Canis lupus familiaris: one gene and its partners. The protein of the gene in region 2 interacts with the protein of the main gene of each other region in a pairwise test. Links are inferred from orthologs where the notes say so. Each region holds a gene or a part of one and is shown on either strand. Other genes may lie near its edges. The genes, in order: EPB41L3, YWHAG, FAM53C and TNFAIP3.

Region 1 (4,902 bases), on a different chromosome or scaffold from region 2:
GATAAATAGAATCTTAAAAAAAAAAAAACGAATCACTTAATTTCAATGAGTAGTAAGTAGAAGCTAGTTCAGGTCCTTTGAAAAAGTTGCTAATGTATATACTTTTTAATAACATTAATAGTATTTTCATGTTAAAATTATGTCTTTTAACAGCGTGTCCTTCACAGCTAATACAAAGTCAAAATTCCCTCTTAACACTAATTCTTTAATTATGTGATTTGCTCTAATTCCATAAGCATGACCAAGGAATGTACCACAGATGTGAATGTCATATTAGAATCAGGTTTTTTAATGCAATCTACCAGTATCTTGAATGTATTTTATTTGTGGTAAAAAGAAAATTCTAACTCGATTCCTTTGTCATTTCATATTTAATATACCCAGAATGTAGAATGTTTCCCCTTCCTATCCAGCCACTCTTCCTAAATAATCCTAAATAAACCTTAGGGCGGGGCACTAGTTTTACAATCAACTTTTGACATTTTTTTTTTAGTAGGGTTTTTTCTTTGGACCATGTTTGTCTTCCAGTGTGTTTCTGCAGTAGGTAGCAGTGATTCCCCATAACTTTCTCCTATTACTTCTTATACCTTTCTTCCCAAAGGGGTTTGCTCCTCTAAATAAGCTTTCTCAGAGGGCTATCTGCCAATTGTTTTTTAATGCTTTTCCTCCCAAAATCTATTTAGTTTTGCATTGGACTCTTTGGATTCTATCTGCATTCACAGTCCTAAATCAAACTTTCCGGGGGGGGGGGGGGGGGGTGGAGAAACACACACACACACACACACACACACACCCTTCCCATGTATTTCATCTCCCAGACTTGAAATTCTCTTCCTATTCCCTCATTCCTTACCTCCCACCTGTTTATTCTTGCTGTCAGTTCTCTCTGTTGGAATCTGATACAACCTTTGAAACAACTGTTTTCAGTGTTGCTGTAGCTGTTCCATAACGACCCTAGCTCCTGTGCAACAGAGTTACTGTAGCAGGCCTGAGATGCTGTCCTCAGAAAGTCTTCCTTGCAAGGTTGACCCTTGGCTGGTGTCTGGAAACTTGGATTGGGGCAGAGTCCCATGCTTCTCAACTGAGGAGGGTGGCTCACTGTACCCAAACTCTTACTAGAAAACAATATGGTCCATGCCACACATGTGCTTTTCTTCTGGAAGCCTGGAGTTTTTCTAGGTGCGAGGTAGAGGCTATCTCTGACCAGCCCCCAGTAAACATCCTGGGCAGAGTCTGTAACAGCCTGCCAAGGTAGACAGCATTTTACATGTGTTGTCACAGTCTGTTGCTGTTGGAATGAAGCATATCCTATGTGACTACCCTGGGAAAAGACTCTTGGAAGCTCCTGCTGGGTTTCCAGGACGTTGCCCCATGCACCTTCTCCCGTTGCTGAGTTTGCCTTGTGTCATTTCACTGCAATACATCTTGGCTGGGAGCACAACTATATGCAGAATCCCATGAGTCCTCTTAGCAAACCACCAAATCTAGCACCGGTGACACAACTCGTATGGCCTGTTACATTATTTCTATCCTCCTTGGTCCACCTTGTAAAAGCACTTCAGAACCTGCCTTTACCATTACTTCTCTAGGCGCTTCCACTGGATTCCAAAGTGGACCCACTGCTTCCGACAGATCACTGCCGGCACAGGAGCGATGGCAGTTTGTAGGGGAAGCTCTTGGCCTGGTGTGAAGACACCTGGTTTCTGTTCTTAGATCTGCCATTCCCTATTTAATTTAGAGCAATCCACAACCTCTCTAGGTTTTAACGTCCTTACACATAAAATGTGAATAAAACTACAGATAACGCGATATCCTGGCGCAAGATTTTGGCTTTCTGCACAAATAATTTCTTACCAATTTGCAACTAAAAGGTACATTGTATCAAGGTTCATTGTAATGCAAAACTGCTCTTTTAAGGCATCCTTATTTTCTCTGTACCTTCCACTATGAAAAGTTCTTTTTGTATAGTGAAAGATTTTTGCACTATTTTTTTTTTTTTGGCAAAAATTTCTGGATTCACTGGGGAAAATATGTGAGAAATGTTTCAGAATTAGAGATTTAAAGGAAAATATACTACAAAAATAGGAATAATGCTCAAACTATCGCACCAAAATTTCCTGGGTAATGGTATTATTTTTGAAAGTTGCTGTCAGAAAAGAAAAGAATGAAGAGAAATGAACAACCCAGGAGTTGGCTGGAAAGGGGCTGAATTTCTGTTCAGCCAGGGCCCCATGTCCCTCATAATGAGACAGCTGACATAGATAGGTAATAGCCCCTTCTCAAACATCAAGGGACTCCCTTTGTAAAACAACATCAAGATCAGAAAGTTTCAAGAGCCCACTGAAAAATCTCTCTGAATTTACTGCAGTGTCTGTATACACACTTTGCTCATTACTCACTTCCAATACCAATGATTGAAATTCATTTCCCAATGATCGACAAAAGGCCTACCAAAGCCACTGGGGGAGCCATACATAAGAATCTTGAGCCTGAAATAGGTTCCCAGGTTGACTGATGGGCAGCTCCAGTCTTCTGAGGTCTCATCCAAGTTCATGTTTTCATGAAGCTGTTTTTACAATTGCTTACAAAATATATTCCAGTTATGTTTCACTATTCTTCTGTGTAATTCTTGGCACAAAAGAAAACACATGATCATTTGTGAATTGCAAAGGCTAAGCATAAGTGCAGGGCATTCTTGTCTTTGGAGAGCATTCAGACTTTTCTCTTAACCACTTCCTTAAATTGAAGCTGCCATCACAGCTAAAAGGTGTTTCCAAACTCTTAAGCATGTGTCCTTAGAGCAAACAATTTCAGACGAATCGGTCGGTCAAACTGATGTGTACTAAGGACAGAGGGAAAGCTGAGATGACATTGTAGCTAACCTGCATCTGTTCTTAATTCCACATTATCCTCCTAAAAACTGCAAAGGAGAGCATTCAAACCAGAAAAAAAACAAAAACAAACAAAAACCCAAAGAACCATTAGCATAGCATTGAATGAACAAACATTTTAAAAAGCATCCTGCACAAAAAATTATTTCCACATTTCCCTGGTTGAATTTACACAAACTATTGCTTCAATATTTATCAAATTCAGAGTTATCATCACTAAAAATGGTCACTTGTCATAGGTATACTTAATGGTAGGAATACAAAAACGTTACCTCCAAATCCTAAGAGGGACTTTGAACACAGATAGAGACAGATGAAAGATGGCATGCTGCAGTGCAGCAATTTCAGAAGTACTGGAGCACTGACATTCCAGCTTCCATTCCTCCAGGAATATTCTCAGTGAGACACACAAAGATGCAGGGTGGTAGAGGCGATTGTTTTTACTATCATATCCAGGTTCTCTCCTTGAATTCAACACTCAAAAAGACAAGGCAGGAACAGGAAGCAGTAACTGCATGGCCTCTAGTGGTGCCCTTCAGATTCTTCCTCTAATATCTTCCCTGGTCCCCAGTGTAGCTTTTCCGCGTGACTGCACAGCAGTCTCAAAAGTGCTGTGGAAGTAGCTTCCAGCAGCAGGCAGGCAGAAAGCCTAAAGTGGCATAGGGCTTCTTGACCACTGGCTCCCAAGCATCATCAGAGAATCTTCGGCTTGCTAGAATTTTCAGTTTCATGATGGATATGGATATTTCATTAATCCTTAGTTTTCCTGATTGCCATACTAATACACAAACATCTACAGACAGCTGTTGAGACCAACATAATAATTATACTGATATTTTTCCCTTCATTTTGCCAAGCACCCCCACTGAAGTTCTTCCTTTTCACGTTCTTTTTCTATGTTTCCTCCCGAACAGTATGAGTTCATCTAACTAGCTTTATTCCCTAAGGTACAACATTAGCAGGACCACACTGGTCATACCAATAAGCAAAGATTCTCCACTAAGCAAATGGGGCAAAATCTGACAAATTACTCCACCAAATGATAGCTTCAGAGCAAGCGAGCCTAAGTAGGGAGTAAGAACTAACTTTTTTTTTTTTTACTATCTATTATGTTATGTACCAATATTCACAGTACCATACATAAACATTAATTCAATCCTAAAATCAACACTATGAATGCTGTATTATCATCCCCACTTTACAGATGCAAGAATGGTCCCAAAATGATCATGTAATTTGCTTGACATCTTCTGCAAACAAATAAGCAAATCACAAGCAACCTATCATAAAAGCGATCAAAAGATATGAATACACATTTCATGGCTGAACAAACGCATGTGCCAATAAGCATGAGAACTGGCATTCAGCATCATTAGTAGTCAGAGCGAGGTAAATTAAAACCCCAATGAAATAACCATGTTACACACATTCAAGTAGGAAACATGAAAAATCTAACAGTTCCAAGAGTTGAAAGATGGTGGATCCACATTCCAATGAGAGTTAAAATTGGGGCACCCACCTTTGAGAACAATTTGCAACTATCTCCTAATATTGAACATTGATACTCCCTACAATCCACTAATTCAACTCCTACTCAAGAGAGATTCCTGCACATGTGCGTGAAGAGTTATGTTCAATAATGCTGAACAGCTCTTTTCACAACAGTAAAATCCTGAAAACACCCAAATGCCCATCAGCAAGATAGGATGTAAATATGGTATATTTTACACAATAGAATATTAAATAGAACAGAAGAGATGTAGTACAGAATATCTCAACATAGATGAATCTTCTCAATAAACAGTCTCAAAGGATTACACACAATATTAGGTTCTTTTAGAAAGTTAAAAACCACTATAATCAAAAGTTTCATAATACTAAAGAATGGAATAAGGTTACATATAAAGGAAAGTAAAGGAATAACAAACATGAGACTCAGATGAGGTCATTGTAGGTGGAGATGGGACAAAATGGTGGTGGTGGTGGTGGGGGCCAAATGGTAAATGGTTAC
Region 2 (4,817 bases):
TGACCTGATTGATAGACCTTTGATGGAACAGATGTAAAAAATGTGTTTCCTTTTCTAGGGAGGAAGTGGGGACTTCAGGCATCACTGATCCAGCTGCAGTATTTTCCTTCTTTGTCATTTGCTGTGTCCCTCCCCTCCCGTGCACCCACACAGCCTCCCTGCTCTTTCTGTCCATCACGTTAGTCACCTGGTGCATCTGTTAGTGTTGTAGTGGCATAAAGATGTGATCAACCCAAGCGACATCATCCAGACCATAACGACTCTTCTTCATTCTCTTCTTATAGGTGACAGAGCTAAATGAGCCACTGTCCAATGAAGAGAGAAACCTCCTGTCTGTGGCCTACAAGAATGTCGTTGGGGCACGTCGTTCTTCCTGGAGGGTCATTAGTAGCATTGAGCAGAAGACATCTGCAGATGGCAATGAGAAGAAGATTGAGATGGTCCGTGCTTACCGTGAAAAAATCGAGAAGGAGCTGGAAGCCGTATGTCAGGATGTGCTGAGCCTGCTGGATAACTACCTGATCAAGAATTGCAGTGAGACCCAGTACGAGAGTAAAGTGTTTTATCTGAAGATGAAAGGGGACTATTACCGCTACCTGGCTGAAGTTGCCACTGGAGAGAAGCGGGCAACCGTCGTGGAGTCCTCTGAGAAGGCCTATAGTGAAGCTCATGAGATTAGCAAGGAGCACATGCAGCCTACTCACCCCATTAGATTAGGCCTGGCTCTTAACTACTCCGTTTTCTACTACGAGATCCAGAATGCCCCGGAGCAAGCCTGCCACTTGGCCAAGACCGCCTTCGATGACGCCATCGCTGAGCTCGACACTCTGAACGAGGACTCCTACAAGGACTCCACTCTCATCATGCAGCTCCTCCGTGACAACCTAACGCTCTGGACAAGCGATCAGCAAGATGACGACGGTGGCGAAGGCAACAATTAAGGCCCCCAGGTGGACTGGCAGCGCCCGCTGATGCTACTACTGCAGTCTTTATTTTTTCCCATGAGCTGGGGGTCGGGTGGGGGAGGGAAAGGGAGGGACGACCTTCCTAGGGAGAAGCCCACGACCTGTCCTGTCTTTGATCGCCTCTTTTGACATTTTTGCCAAAATACCACTAGTGGAAAGTCAGGCTAGCTGTGCTGGTATTGAAATAGCAGCCTCACACTGGCGTATGGACTGTTCTGTAGATGAATGCAGGTGGAGCGGTCTGTCTTTAACTTATTGCTAGAGAATAGGGTTTTAAGACGAAAAGAAAACTGAAACGAGATGGCCCTCATTCAGTAAGTTCTGTGGTTCCAGTAAGGATTTGTGTGTACAGACGCTCTTGTCTTATGTTTTGGGTACTTTCTATCTCATCTATTTTAGCTGTGCATTTTTTTTTCAGGGTGTACTCGACCAGCCATGGACTAATTGAAATCCCAAACTGACAGACTTGGAACATAAGGTGTGTTTATCCTTATGGTTTAGGCCTTGCCAGTTTCCTGAAGTCTTGGATTAGCTGACAGTATTAACACTAAATTGCAGTTTACAGTATTCTCCATTACAGCCATACGTAACATCAAGCCATTGATTGTGTCTTTTTCTTTGCTAGTTATTTTGGTTTTACATCCTTAGTCAGCCTTATCCAGGTTGGTTTTGCTGTTCGCTATCTCCTGGGCCAAAAGGCTTGCCTGAGGAGAATCAAAGCTACCCTAGGTTTTGGTTAATAGGTGCTTGGCAGGTGGCTGTGGGATTTTTGTCCTTCTTTCCTCTTAACTCTCAAATCCACCACAAAAATGATTAATCACTTTAATAGAAACGTTAAACACCACAAAAATAGAGAAAATTCAGGTCTGTATGTCATTTATTGTGTTGATATTTTCAGAGAACTCCTGGTTTTTAAGCTGCCACAGCTCCTTCCTCAGGGATCACGCTGCCATCACTCTTGACTTGAGTGTTCCCCACTGGACCTTCTGCTGGTGGCTCTTTATAGGGTGGAGATGCCATTGAGCTATAGAAGCTGGGCAGTCATCTTGAGGAAGTTTGTGCAGTGTGTGGAAATTCAGGTGCTAGAAGCTTACTGGTAGACAAATCCAAAAGGAAGAGCTCTTCTATTCATAAGCATTCTGTCCAGTTTCGGGAGCCTCATAAGCATGTCTGTTTTTCCTCCCTGAAAACACTCCTTCCCCAGGCAGTTGTTGTAGGAAGATGAACTAAAATCATTATCAGATAATAAATCACTCCTATTTGACCAAGAGTTTTTCTACACATTTTTTTTCTTCTTTTAATGAAAGCATTGAAACGGGAGAATCCTTTCTCTCTAGTGCAGTTGACGCATGCTCTGGAATCCAAGGAAACTACATTGTTGTTTCCACAAATTTGTTCTCAGTTAGCCTTAGGTCCTTCATTCTTGTTTCGGAAAAAATCTGTCTGAAAACATGACCTGTTGAGTGTGTGTTCAGCCTTTTTTACAAGATCAGAAACAGTGTAAACTCCCGAGATCTGGGTTAAGACGCCAGATTTGTTTTGTCTGTTCCTTTGGGTTATTTAGTCAAGGAGGTATGAGTAATAATTGAGGAAACACTGACAGTTGCTTTTGCTGTTTACCAAAATTGAACTTACAGTTGGGAAATGAATACGTTTGACAGGATCCAGGTGACAGTGAAGAATAGAACGATGATGCCCTGTAGCATGGCACAGTTTACCCAGCGTGACTTTCCTTAGAAGGTTCCCTCCATACGCTAGAGCAAAAGTCCCAATTAACTGAACCCTAGCAGAACTAGAAGAGAGCTGTACAGCTTTTGTGCCATCACCGGGGCCTAAAGTAAATGCCATGGATGGGAAATGATTTGGGTGGGGGTGGGGGGGGTTAGGTGGGGCTTTCCTTAACTTATCTTCATGTCCAGTGAGCAGTGTTGTGTCCTTTCTTGTAGCCTTTGGAAATGATTTACTGGAATTACAAAACCTATATTTTCTTTTAAATTTCAGCTTTGGCTCTGGCTGCTTTTTAGAATAATGCAAGATAAAATTATACCTGAGGGCTAAAAATGAGGGAATGGGAAACTTGATATTTAAGCAGCTTGAATGGTTTCTTTTCTTTTCTTTATTTTTAAAGAAATGCACTTGCCTCTGATACTGTCTCTCCAGTGAAATGATTACTCCTCCATTATTCTATTGATACAATATTGTGCATGCTAGTGTTGTATTTCTATACAGTAGCTTGAAATTTATTAACTTATACTGTAGGTGTTATGTATTCCTATGACAAAAAATTAAGTCTTCAAATTTTTTAAAGTTTTTTTAATTTAATTTTTCCTTTTGGGGGTACAGTTTGCTCTACCAAATAGTGATCGTAACAAATTGATCTGTTTTGGATGTTGCTATAGTGACATGCAGTTATATATTTTGTTTTTAAGGGGGGGGGGAAGCAAAAGAAACACCAGTGTTAGCTTAATCTTAATGTCTGGTGTTTGTCATGGTGAAATTATAACTATTACAGTGTAGGAGAACAACGACTATGTTCTCTGAATGAGCCTTTGTGCTTTTTTGTCATGTTATGCAGTGAACTATTTTTAAGGTCTAATCAGTGATTATTTTTCCAACTCCGTGTTTCTCTAAGGAATTATTTCACACACGGACCATTCTTAGCAGTTTTCCTCAGTGATGGAATATCATGAATGTGAGTCATTATGTAGCTGTCGTACATTGAGCAAATAAACTTACAGATCTGATGTCAGTGCTACTTAGTTTTATTTAAATGACTTTAATTTCCCTTTGCTTTCCAAGGGCTGATTGGATGTGCGTGCTTTCTACTCACAGAATGTGGTTAGATTGGGGGCCAGGGACAAGACTGGGAAAGTGCCTGTAAGCTGAGAGTCAGACCTGGGTTTACTGATGTTGAAAAATGATTGTACCTTTTGGGCCTCCAATGTTTTTCCTACAGAAAGGGCACCTTCAGGTGGATCTCTAAAAGCCTTACAGGGGTGGAGGGAGTATGATTTGTGAGAAGAACAGGGCTGAGTTAAATGATGGCTTCTTTTGGTCCTTGGGCAAATTACGAAACTTTTGAGCTTTGGGGTGTAGGTCTAAATGAAAATGGGATCACATGCCCGGCTGTGTCTCTCAGTGAGGCACCCAGTATTGTTGGAGGTCTCATGAAGTCTTAGATGAGGGGGTTCTTTGTGTTGAAAATGTTCATAAATAGTCTTGCGTTTTTAGTCCCTCTGAGGGGGTCAGGCACCTCCAGTTGGTGTGGCCTGAGCTCTTAGTAGTGCTGTTGCAGATGGCAGCTGTTACACTGCTCCCACCACGTGAATCATGTCCCTGGGTGTGGGGGTGTTCTGCTTTCTATAGGAAGGAAGAATGCCAGAGCAAAGGCTTTCTTCCATCAGCTTGGGTGTGTTCCAGCAAAGGGGTAGAGCGAGGCTGCAGGGCATTGAAAGGGGTGTGGCCTTTTAATTTTTTCAATCAGAATTCACATTTTAGGAATAATTTGTGTGACCCAGGGTTTTGCCATGTACTGGATGAATTAACTTCTCTTGGCTAATTTGTCACTCAGGACCACTCTAAGTGCCACTGCTGGCACAGCTGTGAACATAGAGGTGGCTGATGTGCCTAAGTTCCCACAGTGTCAGAGCCCCAGTGTTGGAGCCTCCTGAGCCTTGCCTACAAACACCAGGCTGCTTCAGCTCAGCTAGGAAACTAAGAAACTGAGCAGCAGCCATGTGGTGACAGCTCTTGCAGTTACTGAGGGTAGAGAGACATCAGACAATCTCTTACTCTCTTACCAACAGGACGGTACACACGTGGGCAGCATCAGAGCAGTGATGTAACAAATTC
Region 3 (4,456 bases), on a different chromosome or scaffold from region 2:
AAAAAAAAAGGGGGGGGGATGCCTGGGTGACTCAGCGGTTGAGCATCTGCCTTCTGCTCAGGTTGTGATACCGGGGTCCCGGGATCAAGTCCAGCATCAGACTCCCCGCAGGGAGCCTGCTTCTCCCTCTGCCTGTGTCTCTGCCTCTCTCTATCTCTCTGTGTTTGTCATGAATAAATGAAATCTTAAAAAAAAAAATGCTATCATTAATACTATTTTACTATGAATGCTTTCCAGAAGGTGCTTCCTGGAGGGGCCTGCCCCACTGTTCCTGTGCTGAGTTCCAGGACAGCCTCAACCTCAGCTACCACCCCTCAGGCTTGAGCCTGCACCTCAGACCACCCAGCCCAGGAAGTTCCCCACAGGAGCAGCCCCTCTCCCAAGTCCTAAGCCCTGAGCCCCCAGACCCAGAGAAGCTTCCTGTGCCCCCTGCCCCTCCATCCAAGAGGCACTGCCGCTCACTCTCAGTGCCCGTGGACCTGTCTCGCTGGCAGCCGGTGTGGCGGCCCGCCCCCTCCAAGCTGTGGACTCCCATCAAGCACCGGGGCAGTGGTGGAGGGGGTGGGCCGCAGGTGCCTCACCAGAGCCCCCCAAAGCGGGTCTCCAGCCTCAGGTTCCTCCAAGCTCCCAGTGCCTCTTCTCAATGTGCCCCAGCCCACAGACCCTACAGTCCCCCTTTCTTCAGCCTGGCTCTGGCCCAAGATTCCTCTCGACCCTGTGCCACCTCCCCCCAAAGTGGCTCCTGGGAGAGTGATGCTGAGTCCCTGTCACCCTGCCCACCCCAGCGCCGCTTCTCCCTGTCACCCAGCCTGGGCCCTCAGGCAAGCCGCTTCTTGCCCTCTGCCCGGAGCTCCCCTGCATCCTCCCCAGAGCTGCCCTGGCGACCTCGAGGCCTCCGCAATCTTCCCCGAAGCCGCTCACAGCCCTGTGATCTGGATGCCCGCAAAGCTGGAGTCAAGCGGCGCCATGAGGAGGACCCCCGGCGGCTGCGGCCTTCTTTGGACTTTGACAAGATGAATCAGGTGGGACCAGCAGAACTAGGGAAGCTTGGTTGGGAGGAGGGAGACTTGCATTTTCACGGAGAGCCATCCTCGAGCTCCATGTACAACTGGCAGGTTCCTTTCTAATTTAAAAAAAATTTTTTTTTAAGTTTGAGTAGGCAACACAGGGCTTGAACTCAGGACCCTAAGATCAAGGCCTGAGCTCAGATCAAGAGTATAACGTTAACTGACTGAGCTTTCACCAGGGTGATTTACCGTCCTAGTTGCCCAGGACTATACCCAATTTAGTACTCAAGGTCTCATGTCCTGTGTCACTCCTTGGGCCTGGGGGTTCTAAAGAAATTGAGATGAGACCCATGTTAAATCTTCCAACAGGGATTCCCAATTGTTCTGCCAAGGGCACTTTCCTTGCACTCTGAGGATGCATAAGCAATACAAGTCCCATCATTAGTGCCCTGCCCCTTCTTGACCTCAGGGCTCGTTTGCCACTTGTCCTTCACAGCTTCCCCTGGGTCTGTGAGGGCTTCGCAGAATGGGTTGCTGCATCATTCATGTACAGCAAACACATTTTGACTTCCCAGTGTGAATACGGCTGTTGTATGCACTTGCCGACTCTTCATATTCTTCCTTCTAGTCTCCTGGGTCACAAACCTCTTTGAGAATCTACCTGCTTATTCATCGTGTCATTCCTCCAACGAGTCAGCAAATGTTACTGAATACCTGCCATGTACCAGGTTGTGACTAGGCACTCACAGTATTGTAAAACATCCAGAAAATGTTCTGCCCACATGAAGCTTATAAATGAGCTCCTAATTTTGAATGTGATAGAAATTATGAGCTATTTCCTCAAAGAATTTGGAAAAATTAAAAATTTTCCAAATGTTATCTGGGAGTTCACATACCTCACCCTAAAGCCTACAACTCCTGCCTGCAAGGGTAACCAGGAAGGACACTTGGAAATCCAGCTTGGGCCAGGGTTCTGTGGAAGTTGGTATCTTTTTTTTTTTTTTTTTTTTTTTGCATTCTTAACTTTGTTGTTTGTTTGACAGAAACCATACTCAGGAGGTCTCTGTCTCCAAGAAGCAGCCCGGGAAGGCAGCAGCATCTCTCCACCGTGGTTCATGGCCTGTAGCCCCCCGCACCTCTCTGCTTCCTGCAGCCCCGTTGGGGGTTCCTCCCAGGTGCTGAGTGAAAGCGAAGAGGAGGAGGAGGGGGCCGTGCGGTGGGGGCGGCAGGCACTGAGCAAGCGGACACTGTGCCAGCAGGACTTTGGGGACCTGGACTTGAATCTAATTGAGGAGAACTAAAACTGAGAGGCTACTTCCTGGGGCCACACAGACTGACTCTCTCTGGCTACTAACAAGTGTCGAGGCCCCAAGGCCAGGGGCCCAGCCTGGGAATGGGGGTGAGTGGAGGGCTCCGACTCAGGGCAGCCTGAAATCTTCTTGCTCCAGGAAGCTCGACCATGCCAAGAGACTGGCCGGGACAAGATTAACGGAGCTGGTGGCGGGAGGGACAGCCCCAGAGCAGACCCTTCCCATGGCGGCCCTGAGTGTGAGTATCCCTGCCACCGAGAAAGCAGTGGGCAGGGAAGGAAGGGGTCTGCTGACCCCAGCTCGGGGAATTTCACTAGCCCCTTTGCTTCAAAGGGCACTTGTGTCTTAGAATTTGGCCAGGGTGGGGGGTTCATTCAGCCTCCTCGGAGAAATTGTGTGAGAGTGTGTGCGTGCATGGGAGTATACTTGGGGAAAGGTGTGTTTGCGTAGCCTTAGGGAAGGAAGGCAGTTGCTCCTTAACAGCAGAGCATCATGATACCCCCAGGATCTTGAATTTTCACAGGACAGCAGGCTTACTCAAGGAGTCAAGAGGATAGCACCAAGTTTTTCTTTTTTTCTAAGTAGCTCTGGAACCAGGCTTATAATCCATAAGCACCACTGGCTCTGCAGAGGATTCTCTTTTGGGGTATGGCAGGGTCTTTAAGAGCTGTGACCTCAGCTAATGGTCTTTTTCTTAGGCCCATCCCCTCCCCTAGACAGATCTAATATTAGGACTGGAGAAGGCTCTTTACATTGATTCTGAGCTGGCCTTTTTTCCTCATCAGATTGCCTAGGCTATATACAGCCTTTGTCTCTTAAGTAGATGTAAGTGCATGTCGGCAACTGAGGCAGAGTTAGAGGGGTCCATCTTTCTCTTTCCCTCTCTATTGATGGGACGTTTTCCCCCTCACTGTCTGAATTTCAAGGGTCAAGAACATGGAGGGGAGGCTCTGTATTGGTCCTTATCATCTGAGGCCCACCTGCAGCAGAATTGGCAGTCAAGTTGACTTACTTTGTCAAGTAAGCATGGGTAAGCTCATCCCAGCACTGCCCTTTGGAAGCAGACTTTAGGAAACCTGTTGTTAGAAGATCCAGGTCTAACCTCTTTTCTGACTTGCTTGAGAAAGAGGAAGAGGATGTCAGCTTTTACCAGTTTGCTTGTCTTCCATTCCTGCCAGGAAATGTTTATTTGCCTCTAATTGGACCTGAGAGACATCAGTGAGGTTGGGGCTCAGTGAGGGTTGGCTGAGGATGTGTAAAGCAAAGGCTACGAGAAGCAGCTGGGAGTTTGTTGTTGGGTTGAATTTCCTTTTTGTTTGTTTCTCACCCGTAACTTGAGCCGGGGCAGCAGGTCCCGGTGGCTGCAATGATGGGTTTAATGGCTGCCGGACCCTTGGTAGGACTGGCACCAGTGGAGATACATACTGACGTGGCTGCCAAGTAGCTTGTGAGGCTTTGTCCAGCTTTGGTTAGACGCTGCACAACTGAATTGGACCCGCCCTTCCTGTTTATTGGAGGAAGGGCATTCTCATCGATCCTCCAGGGTGTCTTAGGATCCAGTTTCTCATGTTAGGGAAGAAGACCAAAGTCCACATGTTTTCTTCCTCCTGGAATTGAACCTGTCATTTTCTTGGTTTCCCACATGTCAGATAGGAGTGTCACCAAGCCTGCAGTCTCCTCACTTCCACTCCAGAGGAGGTGGCCATTTCTTCTTGAGCCTCTGGCTCTAGAGGTTCTACCCTTCCGGGGCTTTCCTCCTCTGCTCGTTACCATGTATTACCAGTGAGCTCCCAGGTCTGTAGAGGCCTGAGAGAGGCTCTCTGGAGAATCCAGGGAATCTGTGAGCCCAGGAGGTGCCCATCCTTGGTTTCATCCCTCCCTTGGCTCTTCTCCTTCTTTAGGCCATAATTTCCCTGATGCCAGCTTCTTTTTCTCCTGGGGCATCCTTATCCCTGGGCTCTCTGCTGCATATTGGCCATGCCAGCTTCCAGTAGGCCACTGGCAAGACCAGTGCGGTCTCTGCAAGCTCCAAGCTGAAGAAGTAAGGGCAGTAATTCTGCCTCTACCCTGGCTTCCCCAAAGCCCTAGGGGTGCGATCCTTAGGGGAGAGGGTCTACAGAGAGTCTATTTGAATTCTAT
Region 4 (4,967 bases), on a different chromosome or scaffold from region 2:
TACTGCACCTCATAACCAACAAGCTCCCCTCTCATTCGCATGCCACTCTGACACAGCCACTGGGTCTTCGGAGCTCTGAATGCCAGTGACGGGCACAAGGTGGCCCTGACAAGTCCTTAGCTTCTCCCTTAAGACCACTGCTGAGCAGCCCTGGCTTTTAGGCAAAGCCTTAATTTATCTCTTTTAAGCCCTCCCACCCTACACTGCAGAATAAATGTTTTGTGGAAAATCTCACAATTTTATGTTGTCACGTAGGCTGCTGATTAGAGTTTCCTCTTTAGCCCCGAAGAGAAATATTTATCAAGAGCTTATTTATAAAAATGTATTATAATATTTATAAAAGTTAAAACTGAATATCTTAGAACCAATGAAAAAGCCTATTTCCAGTAAGAAGCTTTGCAATTTTAACGGTCAATGATAAAGTCTTTCAGAACCTCTCCACTGAACTTCACAACATCAGAATAGGACATAGAATTATAATAATAATAATAATAATAATACAAGAATAAATTTTACACTTCCGAGAGCAGGCATTAGATTTCAATTATTTCAACTTAACTACATTTATTATCATTGTCCAGGTACCAACACTCAAATGCATTTCCCACCCTGTCTTCACCCTGGAATCCTGAAACATAATCTGCTGGTAGAAGGAAATAAAAGTCTGGAAATGGGCAAGGAAAGATGTTTCAGCCAGGGGGATGCTCATGATAAATGAAGGAAGCGGGGGGAGGGGGGTGGTGCAAAACCCAGCATCTACAACCCATGCCAATAGCGTAGGATGTTGTGAATTGATGCAACGTGGGATCTCTGCAGTGTGGAGCTGTGTGGAAAGCCACAAGCCTTAGCAGGGTGCCCCAACATACATCTTGGTTTCCAAGATGAAGGCAAAGATGGTTTTGGAGCATGAAGACATTCCCTAGGAAGTTTCATGGAGATTGCTAATCTCACTCCTGCACCATACTATTTGCCAGGGCAAGCTTCTAGTTGAGGAAGACTTGAAACCTGTGTAAGAGTGAGAAGAAACCTAGATTTTAGGGAAGCCATTCCTAGGTGGGTCTAGGCTCTCTTAAAGCCATTGATGAAGTGATTTAAAACTTGTGGTCCAAAATAGAGAGGTTAAAGTAGATGACCCAAGGTTGCTTCTGAGGAGTTTTCTGGTGATAGTTTTGGACCAGGATTCCAAATCTGATTGTCAATGAGGCCTGGGAGAAGTTATTCTCTGGGCCAGTTGGTAATCTTTCCTTCAGTTCCCTGAAGGTGGAACTGGGCAAAATTATTGCAGGGCACAAGCATAATGAAGCAATAAAAACATTACACCCATTTCCACTTTGTGGCATGGCCAGTCTCACAATCACTCATTCATCTGTCCATTGCTTAAAAAGCACTGCCTGCTCACCTGCTGAGAGCCATGCTGGATGCTGGGACTAAAAATCACAGGTGCCCTTATTCCCTGTCCACAGCCATGGCAACACAAGCACGGGTCCTGCTCAGGTTCCACACCACCCAAGGCAGACAGCTTTGCCTGGAAGCCAGATCTTCCAACACCTGCCCCTTGCAGTTCCCACAACACCATCCCTGTGCCTGCTGCTGCCAGACGGGAAGAGGCCGGAAGCAAAAAGATTTGAAACAAGCTAGGTGTTGCCTTTTGAGTTTTCCGAATCTTCTCTTAATCTCTTCTAATTTAAAGATCTTTCAGCAAAGACCTCAAATAGCACAAGCGCTCTTTGCCATATGTAAGACATGCAAATGTCAGTACTGTATAGCCCTGGGTCATCTCATTCATAGTTTTAGCCTTGCACACACTGTGGAATCGATCGCCTCCTGAAAAGAATTAGAACCCACCAGCCAAGTTCCCAGTTCTCGGACTTCTCCACGTTTAAGATGAAAGAATAAATTTTCCTGACCTATAACTGTAACGTCCTTACAGGTAAAGACATATGCTATCACCCTTACCATTTCTTTTACATTTGTCACCTCACTGACTTTTTTTTTTTTTTTTTAAATCAATAAATGCCTCATCGAATTTTTGGTAACTCTCACTCCTAAACTCCAAAACTTGTACACAGAATTGTTAAAAAGAGAAAAAAAAAAAACAAAAAACAAAGAAGCACCTTAGACGATGGGAATGGAGCTATAACCGGCTGCGTAACAACTGCAGACACTAGTGCTAAGGTCCAGGGGACTGATGAACCACGGTCCTCCCCAAAGGCTGCCCTGAGACACTTGACCAGACCAGCTTTCCAAGGAAAGAAGATCAGAGGCGGGGAGAACTGAAAACAAAGCGGTCTCAAAAGCGCTGAGCTCCTTCCTTACTTAATACCACTGCTTTCCTGAGAGGCCAGGTGGCAGGATGTGGGACGACCCGGGCTGACAACGACCGTCTGACTGTGGGGTAGGGGCTGGGGCAGGGGCCTCCAGGTCGCCGTCCACTGGAGCACCCGAAAAGCCGGCCAACGTCCCGCTTGAGCATGCACACTCCTCGCGCACTGCGGCGCCTGCAGCAGCTCAGCACCGGCCCTCCGCCCACCCGCCTCCCTGCACTGGGCTGCGGGGTCTGCAAGCCGACCCAGGGCAGGCTGGCTGGCCCGGGCCCCCACGCCCCCCCCGCCCGGCGGGTGGCCTGGCTCTGCACCCGCCGGGAAGAAGCCACGGCGGGTCGGCTCTGCAAGGTCTCCGTGTCCGCGAGCATCCAGAGCTTGATCGAAAAATAAAAAAGGCACGCAAAGGGGCAAAGCACCGAGGACCACGCGACCTGGCCGTCCGGGGGCTCCTCTCCAGCCGCCTGCTGCAGCTTACGTTCCTGGCAGCATCTACAAGGAACAGCTGGCCGGAGGGCTCCCGAGCTGTCACCCCAGCGTCGTGCGCGGCCGCCTCGACTCCCAGCACTTCACATCCCGCAGTGAGCGCCGACGGCCGACGAGCTCCGGGCCGGGCCCGGGCCGACAAGCTCCCGCCCGCGAGGAGCTGCCGGTGACGCACCCGCGCAGCCCGGGCCCCGCGACGCCGCTGGCAGAGGCACGGGCACGCGGCGGTTACCTGTCCGGCCGCGCGATCCTCTTCCAGAGTCCCAAGTCCGGGTCAGGTCCGGGCCGCGCGGAGGAGGCGCCCCATGGACGCCGGGGCTCGGCGCTCGCTCGCCGCGGGGCTGTGTGGCTCGCGCCCGCCGCCGCCGCCGCCGCCGCCGCCGCCGCACTTGTCCCGGCGGCTGCTGTCACCGCTCCGCCCCCGCGGGCTCCGAGCGCGCTGCACCGGCCCGCTGCGAGGACTGCAGACTGCCAGTTCTCTTTTTCCCTTTCTGTTTTACCGCCGGCGGAGAACGGGGATTTCCACCCGGGGACTTTCCAGTCACGTGACGCCCGGGCCGGCGCCGAGCCCCGCGGTCGCCGGCCGCCAGGGGGCGCAGGGGGCGCAGGGGGCGCGGGCGGCGCAGGAGGCCGGCGGCGCCCCGCCCCGCCCCGCCCCGCCCCGCCCCCCCGCGCGAGAAACTCCTGAGCCCCGCCCCCGGGTGTCCCCGCGTGAGTCACCTGGGCATTTCGGAAGCTGGCCCAACGTCACATCCATGTGGAAATCGCGGTGATGGGAACTGGAAATGAAATAGGTTCTTTTTTCTCAGCCGTTTTTCTGCAGAAAATCACCAACCGTGGAGAACAATAAGGGAAATAATAAAGAAAGAAAACCCTAAAAACCACCCGGGCGTCCGGGACCGCAGCCTTCGGGGCTGGGTTGGAAAAGCTAGGGCTGTGCACGTGATGAGCTCGTCGGGGAGCGCCCTACTCTGGGCCCCGGTGGGGATTTCACAACCCTCCGTGCGTCCCCATCCCAGCGTTCTGCCGCCCAGACGGCGGCCTGTTGGGGGTGACCTCCTGAGGCCCCACAGCCTTGAAATTTGCAGGAGCAAAACCTATCTTAGGTGAAGTTGGGAATCAGAGCAACTATCAGCCCTGTTCTGCACTTTACTGATTTCCCTTTCTCCCTTCCTGCACACCAGGTGCCCAGGGGGCTCGGCACGCAGGAACATTTCGGTTTAGAAATCATTTCTAGTCCATTATTACTGTCCTTGCGTGGCCCCCCTAAGGCCCTATTAGGAGCTCTTTTTCATGACCTGACAATTAGTTCAGGCCAAGGTGTCAAGGGCTGATAATACATTTTACCCACCCACGACCCCCACCCCTTATTAAATAGTGTGGTAACCCGCAGTCTTTACCCAAAGGACGTCCTGTGGAAATAGGTGTCAGCCACTTGGACAGTGGAGGTGCCTGAATTGCAGAGGGAGAGGCAGGCACTTTGACTGGCTAAGAGTCCCCCTTGGCGCATTTCTTAGAATAGCTAAACTAGAACCAGATTGAAATATTCTGTGCATTGTCCCCTTCTAGACTTACTTATACTAGTTGGGCCTCGTATCCCAGTTTTGGAATTAGAAAAATATGCTTTCCTCTCCAGTAAGGACCTGCAGAGACTGGATGGAGGACTGGATGAGGACCAGGTGGCACATTTTTGGCAAAGAGACACTCAGAGCGGAGAGTCAGAAGTGGCCAAGCTTCCAAGGCTGGTGCTGGCCATTTGAAACCAATGGCTGGGACTTTTGACAACTCCAAACCTCCTGGCATTTCTTCTTATACCTGCTGGTATAAGCTGTTCATTCACAAATGTTTTTAGCTACCAACTCTCAAACAACGCATAGGGAATATGATAATAATAATGTTTATTAAGTCCTTACTATATGCCGCTCTCTAGGCTAAGTGTTTGAAAGGCACTCTGCCACTTAAGCCTCAAAACAACTCCACTTTGAAGCTATGAAATTAAAGTGTAAGAAGCTTAAGCCATTTACCCCAAGTCTACACCGTCGGTCAGTGGCAGAGCCGTGATTGGAACTGGGCCTGTTTACTCCAAGGTAAACGCTGTTGGGTCTTAAATATTACTCTCAGAAAAGATCCTCCAAGACTTAAAATCTCAAGGCCATTGTT

What was found.
Region 1: the proteins of YWHAG (region 2) and EPB41L3 interact in binary tests that used the Homo sapiens proteins (3 or more experiments, as listed by UniProt). The link is inferred for Canis lupus familiaris from reciprocal best matches to the Homo sapiens genes YWHAG and EPB41L3.
Region 3: the proteins of YWHAG (region 2) and FAM53C interact in binary tests that used the Homo sapiens proteins (3 or more experiments, as listed by UniProt). The link is inferred for Canis lupus familiaris from reciprocal best matches to the Homo sapiens genes YWHAG and FAM53C.
Region 4: the proteins of YWHAG (region 2) and TNFAIP3 interact in binary tests that used the Homo sapiens proteins (3 or more experiments, as listed by UniProt). The link is inferred for Canis lupus familiaris from reciprocal best matches to the Homo sapiens genes YWHAG and TNFAIP3.

What each region holds. Positions count from the first base shown.
Region 1 is NC_049228.1:72,026,832-72,031,733, forward strand, and holds the start of EPB41L3 (band 4.1-like protein 3), read right to left. Parts: upstream 3,371-4,902; 5' UTR 3,219-3,370; coding exon 3,164-3,218; intron 1-3,163. UniProt on the Homo sapiens protein: Tumor suppressor that inhibits cell proliferation and promotes apoptosis. Modulates the activity of protein arginine N-methyltransferases, including PRMT3 and PRMT5.
Region 2 is NC_049227.1:7,419,705-7,424,521, reverse strand, and holds the end of YWHAG (14-3-3 protein gamma), read left to right. Parts: intron 1-284; coding exon 285-941; 3' UTR 942-3,714; downstream 3,715-4,817. UniProt on the Homo sapiens protein: Adapter protein implicated in the regulation of a large spectrum of both general and specialized signaling pathways. Binds to a large number of partners, usually by recognition of a phosphoserine or phosphothreonine motif.
Region 3 is NC_049232.1:25,996,369-26,000,824, forward strand, and holds part of FAM53C (protein FAM53C), read left to right. Parts: intron 1-237; coding exon 238-1,022; intron 1,023-2,050; coding exon 2,051-2,308; 3' UTR 2,309-2,540; coding exon of another isoform or gene 2,541-2,555; 3' UTR 2,556-4,456.
Region 4 is NC_049222.1:30,482,781-30,487,747, reverse strand, and holds the start of TNFAIP3 (tumor necrosis factor alpha-induced protein 3), read right to left. Parts: upstream 3,176-4,967; 5' UTR 3,040-3,175; intron 2,079-3,039; exon of another isoform or gene 1-2,078. UniProt on the Homo sapiens protein: Ubiquitin-editing enzyme that contains both ubiquitin ligase and deubiquitinase activities.